Bombyx mori: one gene and its partner. The main gene of each other region encodes a partner of the protein of the gene in region 2 in a complex. Links are inferred from orthologs where the notes say so. Each region holds a gene or a part of one and is shown on either strand. Other genes may lie near its edges.

Region 1 (4,567 bases), on a different chromosome or scaffold from region 2:
ACTGGTCCCGTGATAAGTTCGTAAAGAACTTGTGTTACAGGTACCAGATAACGGAAATAAATGTAAGATTTTTATTATACACATACACATATTTAATATACATCCATAACCCTGGAAAAGACATTTATATTTATCATACAAATATCTTCCCTTGGCGGGATTCGAACCCGCGACCCCCTTGTGTAGTGACCATGTCACTTACCACTACACCAGACAGCCGTTATGTGTTGTATGTTAAGTGTGTATGTATCTTTCTTAAATACTCTTAAATGACTGGACCAATTTTAATAAAGTTTTCAGGAAAACTTCAGATTAGTCTAGGATAATCCCGTGGAATTTTATAGCAGTTGAATCGAATTCAAAACAAAGATCAGTGAGCAAAGTGGGCCTGATAGTCCTATATAAAGGATTTTTGCTTTTTCATATTATTCTTTTATTAAAACATCACAATGTGTAAGGCACCAGTTGCTTTAAGACATGAGTTTTAAGTCTTAATTATATTATTTAATGGCATTCCCACTCTTCACACTCAAACCCATGAGTGCTTCATAGCATACATAAGACAGCATCGTGGTGTGATGGCCAATGTAAACAAGACAGTTCTCATCATCATCAAAGTGAATCACTATACTTTATCATCACAAGAAAAATTATAAGTAAATATAATAGAATATATTTCCCGTTTGTAAGAGTAAAAGAGCTCAATTATAATAATTTTGTTTTTTATTCAATACATTTACAGTCCATCTAATATCAAACAATTAGACAAAAAAGTTGAGATATTGTGCATTAAAACAATAGCTATGTTGCTGTATTGTATGCTGTATTACCAGAACACATAAAGTGCTTATTGAGGTAATGGGGTCATATACTTTCTTGTTAGCTCATAAGACTATTTACGAAACAGGAAATAAAAAGAGAAGTTGGATTTAATAGAAAAAAGGATTTAGGAAAGCAGAAAGCAGATTTCACATGCTCACTCAGCTTGAGGTCAATTAGGTAGTTTCTGATTAATCACACAACAGAAAAATCCCATGTAAGGTCATATGAGGCTTATAAAATCAAAGGCAGCTAAACACCATAATGTCGTAAAATGTATTAACAATGGCTCTATCTTGTTTAGTTAGTTGAACATGCTTTAGTGTTTTCATGTTATAACAAATGCAGCTAAATCTCTAACAAATTCAGTTCAAAAAAGTTAAGTTTACTCTGTATTAAGTACTAATAAACGAAGTTTTATCATTTAAAATTCAGATCATTAGTAATATTCTCATTCTTTATAAATCTGTTTTAAAATAAAGAATATCGTAGCTATACGAACAAAGTTATTTCAGATTCTCAAACCGGGTGTTGCTAACACTGGCCCTAGCAAGAGCGGTACTTCGATGGATCAGGAGGGTCCGTAATGACGTATGTAGGGCCGGTTTTTGTAGTTTACCTGAATATTTGACAGACTTGGATATAGCTGCCTTTGATTTTATAGGCCTCATATATCAGTTCTACGGTTTTTGTAGTTTACCTGAATATTTGACAGACTTGGATATAGCTGCCTTTGATTTTATAGGCCTCATATATCAGTTCTAATCACTATCTCTTTATTTTTAACTTTCATTTCTATATTAATTACTTTATGAGTTTATTTGAACAAAAATTGTATTACTCACCTCTTCGTTGTATAATTTACTTAATTCTTTTTTAATAGGGTCTATTAGTTGTATTTGGCCAGTAGAAAATCCTATAACTAATGATACACTATCAGCCGTCATTGTGACAGTATTGAAATCATGACATGTAGGATTAGTTCCTTTGTACATTTTCTTGTCTACAGGTTTGGTGAGATCAGCTGCCTGAAAAAATAACAGTATCACTAGTTATCTTACTGCTGTAGGCCTTTAGAAATCTCTTGGACACCACAATAAAAATGCTAATGCCCACTTCAAGACAAATTATTGAAATATCAATTGTATTGGTAAAACAGCTACTCTTTGTTTTAAAATATACTAATATTTAATGCAGTATGAAGGCAGTTAGTGTTATAGTCATTCTTATGGACTCACAGAAAAAGACTACCCACTAGTAGTTACAAATAAAGGCATTACAAACTAGGTATTTTCATAAGGTATAGAAATAAGTGATGATATTTCTGCTAAGGAGGAATGATACGATATTAACTATTTCAAGTAGTCTTATATTCATATCATATTGTTTGTAGTTAGACACAATAATAAAATTAGTATCCTCTAGTCCAGTTGATTATGCACATGATATTTTTCTCTTTAATTTGGTAAATAAACAATGATTACCTTTTTGACACCTCTGTACACGTAAACATAGAGTTCTTTGCCATGATTGAAACATATTCTGTCGTCCGAGTTTTGAGAGTCCGAGTTTCCGACTCCAGGACTTGGCGGCAATGACACCAGAGACACGCGGACGTGCGAAGACCCCGACCCGCTGGTATAACCCACGCGATTTGGTCTTGAGTACTCCGACAAAGTCATCAAGCGGTAAGTCCCTTCGCGTGTCACAAACTGAGTCTTTACTTCGTCCTTCCCTCCAGAGTCCGATTGCACAGCCATATTAACATATTATCCTGTTATTATTCATGGAGACTGCTGCAAGAGAAGCTCCGATTGCGTTTGATAGATTAAACAGTCTGCCAGCCGGATTCCCACCGGTCGCACACGATTGCCATCACTTGTTCACACGTGTTCGAGTATTAAATTCATTCACCTATCATACGATAAGTCTGTTTGATTACCGTTTTTTAATTATAAGCGTTGATTGAAGTGAAAAGTTGTATGCAGTCACAAGTCAGGTGTCGATGCTTGACAACTTGACGAAATGACAAGTGACAACGTCTTAAATGTTATGTGTATTATCTGTGTTTTTTTTTTATTACTTAAACGGGTAGACGAGCTTACAGCCCACCTGGTGTTAAGTGGTTACTGGAGCCCATAGACATCTACAACGTAAATACGCCAACCACCTTGCGATATAAGTTCTAAGGTCGCAGAATTGTCACAACGGCTGCCCCGCCCTTCAAACCGAAACGCATTACTGCTTCAGGGTAGAAATAGGCAGGGTGGTGATACCTACACGTGCGGACTCACAAGAGGTCCTACCACCAGTAATTACGCAAATTATAATTTTGCTTGTTTGATATTTATTAGTACGTATTTCATTAGAAAAATTGGTATCTGCCGGCGGGATTCGAACACCGTTGTATCGCTAGATCGATAGATTGAATAACATTAATACAAACTCTGAAAACTGTTTTAGACAACTACCTATGAAAACTATCCATGAAAACGCGCCTAATTAGACGCGCTAGGACTTACCGCTTGATTTAACTTTTAAATTTTATGACGTAGAGAATGAAAAAACACGATAGAAGTCCCTCTCAATTCATAAGTTTTTAAGTTATGGGCCTTACCAGAAGGCTCAAAATCACTCTCAGAGCAAAGGGGAGGGGACGAGCTATGGTTGGAGTTTCCCTGCAAAATCTAATAAGAATGAGAGGATTCGTAGAAGAGCAGAGGAAAATACCATAGTCCATAGGTTGCGTGCGTTGGATGCAGGCGGCGCGGGAACGGCATTTCATGTCATTATTGTAAAGCTGAGGTTAGAGCAAGGTTGGTCGACCACCTACCGATAGTAATAAATTGGCCGAGGGCCCAATTGCATAATTATGCTAATCATAAAAAAAGAACAATGAAATCTAAACTACTTCTTGAAAATTCATTGATTTATTTCTAATTTTACATTGTTTATATCACTTTTTTCGGATAGGTATTGAGTATTTTCTTTTTCAATAGAAACCTCTTCAACTTTAAGCTCATCTGTGTCTTTTTCTTCAACAGGCAATTTAATTACCTTATTATCATCTTCTTTTTCTTCCAAAAATTTACCCCATTTATCTAACCTCTGATTAATGTCTGCATCAGTTTCAGCAATTTTGTACTTAGTTTTGCCATCCCATATCTCTGCAGTGATTTGTCTTTTGCCAAACCATCTTCCGTTGATCAGCTGAACAACAGCATCAGCTTGTTCCGGCTCTTTCATAGTTATCTGTGCCACTCCTTCAGGATGGCGATCATAGAGCACTACTTTCCGAACGTCTCCACATTTTCCACATTCTTCCCTCAAATCTTGCTGATAGTCCAGAATAAGCTGAACCTCTTTATCAAAATCACTAGAGTGGAATAAATTTTTAACAATAACTACTCTTTCGTGTTTAGAACGTTCACCAATAAACTTCTCTGGCCTCCAATCAAATAGTTTTTCTTTCATTTTTTTAATTTTTTCCAGCTCTTTTTTTCTTCTTTTCTTAGGTTTGAGGGCAGGATTGTATTCCCCTTTTAGTTGAAATTGAGCTCTTTCCACTTTAATGGTATTGCCTTTACAATCGCTGCCATCCAACAATTTTAATGCTAAATCTACGGATTCTATTTTTATATAAGTACATAATGCATCACCCTTGAAACAATTTTGTTCTTTGTCCATGTATAATTTAACTTTCATTTTTTGGTTACTTGGATCTCGTTCAACGAGACCACACTTCTGC
Region 2 (2,920 bases):
TCAAGAAAGATTATAAGCCTATGTCACTCGGGAAGAGTGTAGCTTCCAAACAGTGAAAGAATTTTTCAAATCGGTTCAGTACTTTCGGAGCCTATTCAATACAAACAAACAAACAAATCTTTCCTATTTATAATATTAGTATAGATCGATGCCTCCAATGAACACTACTCTCAACTCCAAATTCGTAAGTTTACAGGAGGAGCGTTTAAACGAAAAAAGCTGGTAAAATCTTTATTATTGCAGATATATTTTTGCCTTTTCTTGTGTAACTAGCTGATTTACTCTTGCTTCGAACCCCATTAATAATGAATATGTAATAATTTTAAAATAGTGATGAGATTTGCGTGAAAAACGAAAATTTCAAAATTTTGAGTTAGAGTAGGATCGAGATTGGTGGCATCGAGATATAGTTTGTTATAAAAAGGAAGTGGATTATATTTTTCACTATGCTTAATATATTTGCAGCACTTAGCAATAGCTTAAGCAATGTATGGATAACTCATGTAAATTAACATATTAATGCTATGCGCTGAGGTTCGGGATAAATAAAAAATCTACCGAAGTACAAGTTAACACTGTATTAGCACTTAGAACACATAGAACACTTCACAAACACTTTAAAATTCTCCATTCACTTCTTCCGCTTCGCTTCAGGTGATCCGTTCGCTGTTTCGCTTCGTGTAGTTCATATTACTAACTGCGTGCCATCTCTGCAACGCTTTTACAGTCGAGACGAAATCCCTAGAATCATTAAGAATATTCCACAAAAGTCGAGTACTGTGTGTTTCCGTTGTCTGACAATAGATGGCGCTGTACTTCTCGAGCGCTCTAGATACTATTACATCCTTCGATACTCGTTCGACTATTCGGCGATAGATGGCGTTACTCTTACCGGCGTAACAATAATATTCTGCACAGTATCTGGTCACATAAGATATATTATGAGAAATAATAACATAAATTTTCTTTACCGACTACCAAGCAGGATCGTCTGGTTGCCAATGATTTCATACAATGCCGCAAGATTGCCGAACATGTCGTGGAAAAAATAGTTGGCGGTGGGGATGTAAATGGGGCCAGTGCGGGAAGCGGAAAGGGGAGTGCTAATGAGGACAGCGGAAACGATGGCTCCCCTGAGGAAAAAGTTGAGCTGCTGTGTTGCGATCAGGTAAGTTGTTTCCAGAGGTATTTTTTGCCACGTACCATCCGGCTTTGGAATGAGCTCCCCTCCACGGTGTTTCCCGAGCGCTATGACATATCCTTCTTCAAAATAGGCTTGTGGAGAGTATTAAGCGGTAGGCAGCAGCTCGGCTCTGCCCCTGGCATTGCTGAAGTCCATGGGCTATGGTAACCACTCACAGGTGGGCCGTGCGCTCGTCTGCCTAAAAGGGCAATAAAAAAAATAAAAAAGAAAGTTGTTTGAAATTCATTCATTGAAATGACATTCTCGAATGATAATTTTCAGGTCCTGGACCCAAATATGGACCTAAGAACGGTCCGCCATTTCATTTGGAAGTCCAACGTCGAGTTCACGCTACACTATCGTATATTAAAACAATGAAATACGCATAACTTCAGCGAGTGCAGAACGCAACTAAAGAAGTGCCTAATGTTTCGTTGTGTGCTTGAATAATGCGCGAAACGAGGTCGCTTTGTGGTCACACTGAAACGTCAAATCTGTCATCTGTCAACGTCAACGCTAAAAATGTCAGTTGGCGAAACGTCAGATTTCGTTGTGGTAAGGATTTCTCCGGTGCTGCCAGACTTGGAGTTTTTTGTATAATCATTGGAAACGGAAATTTATAAAATATTTGATGCATTGCGAATATTCTTATTAGCTAATTTAAATGTTAAAATATAGCAATAGGATAATAAATCTTCATCAATGAAATAGAGAAAAAATAAAGACATTTACGAGACTTCATGACATGTTTTTCTTCGAACTAGGTATAAGAGGAATATTTCTGTTCTACCGTGAAATCATATTAAATCTGTCATTGGTCATCTGATTGAAACGAAGTCATAATTAGTGATTTTTAATTAGCCCGCAATATTGCCAACAACAATATAATGTATGATAATTGACAATCTACGTAGAATAATAATTGAAATAATTTAAATAAAGCATGTAAATGTTAATGTGTTGTTTTTCATTTTTAATAAACATTGAATAAGACTGGAATGGCTGTGGAATGAGCTCCCCTCTACGGTGTTTCCTGAGCGCTATGACATGTACTTCTTCAAACGAGGCTTATGGAGTACTTAACGGTAGGCAGCGGCTTGGCTCTGCGCCCGACTTTGCTGATGTCCATGGGTGACGGTAACCACTCACCATCAGGTGAGCTGTATGCTCGGGTGCCGCAGAGCAATGACGGGCTTACAGTTGAAGGATAGAATGGAAATATCAGTTCAATTGAAGCTCAGTAGTGACTCATGACTCAATGTGAATGACGGCAGTCCGTGTACATGACGAAATTCAGTTTTTTTTCTTTTCATAATATTTCTAATATGCGCCATCTTTTATTAATCACAAGGTATGAGTGAATGAGGAGAATTCGTGAAACTCATTGTGCTCTGTAAAATATAGATGGCACTGTTTACTATTTTTTCCACATTTTTCACTCGAGTTTGTCTAAGCGGCAGTGCTGCGTGTAGATCGTACACTATTCACTTCTTTTTTTCCCTACCTATTCTAGTAACCTCGAGGGGTTATTCTAGATTCACCGATATAAAAATATATTTTTTTTATTCTAATATTTATTAGAAATAAAGTTTTTAAATTATTAATAAGAGTTAATATACGTACAGACCGCCAAAAAAAAAAAAAAATTGGCCATTTAATTAAAAAAGTTGCTCATAATTGCTTCAGAAAAGCGACTGCTCTAACAGATGTCAAAAAAACTAAAATCTAGAATTCACG

Evidence for each region.
Region 1: the proteins of WD repeat-containing protein 48 homolog (region 2) and WD repeat-containing protein 20 are in contact, whole or in part, in a crystal structure (PDB 5K1C), measured with the Homo sapiens proteins. The link is inferred for Bombyx mori from reciprocal best matches to the Homo sapiens genes WDR48 and WDR20. Residues at the interface, in NP_065890.1 of Homo sapiens: Val191, Lys207, Gly208, Gly240, Gln241, Gln242, Arg243, Cys244, Ile245; in NP_653175.2 of Homo sapiens: Arg20, Ser364, Thr384, Glu385, Asp386, Glu524, Pro525, Leu526.

Annotation. Positions count from the first base shown.
Region 1 is NC_085131.1:12,892,594-12,897,160, reverse strand, and holds the start of WD repeat-containing protein 20, read right to left. Parts: upstream 2,836-4,567; 5' UTR 2,580-2,835; coding exon 2,304-2,579; intron 1,848-2,303; coding exon 1,665-1,847; intron 1-1,664. Other genes in the region: HIV Tat-specific factor 1 homolog, read right to left, coding at 3,742-4,567. UniProt on the Homo sapiens protein: Regulator of deubiquitinating complexes. Activates deubiquitinating activity of complexes containing USP12. Anchors at the base of the ubiquitin-contacting loop of USP12 and remotely modulates the catalytic center of the enzyme.
Region 2 is NC_085134.1:8,701,789-8,704,708, reverse strand, and holds the end of WD repeat-containing protein 48 homolog, read left to right. Parts: intron 1-982; coding exon 983-1,168; intron 1,169-1,465; coding exon 1,466-1,561; 3' UTR 1,562-2,139; downstream 2,140-2,920. UniProt on the Homo sapiens protein: Regulator of deubiquitinating complexes, which acts as a strong activator of USP1, USP12 and USP46. Enhances the USP1-mediated deubiquitination of FANCD2; USP1 being almost inactive by itself.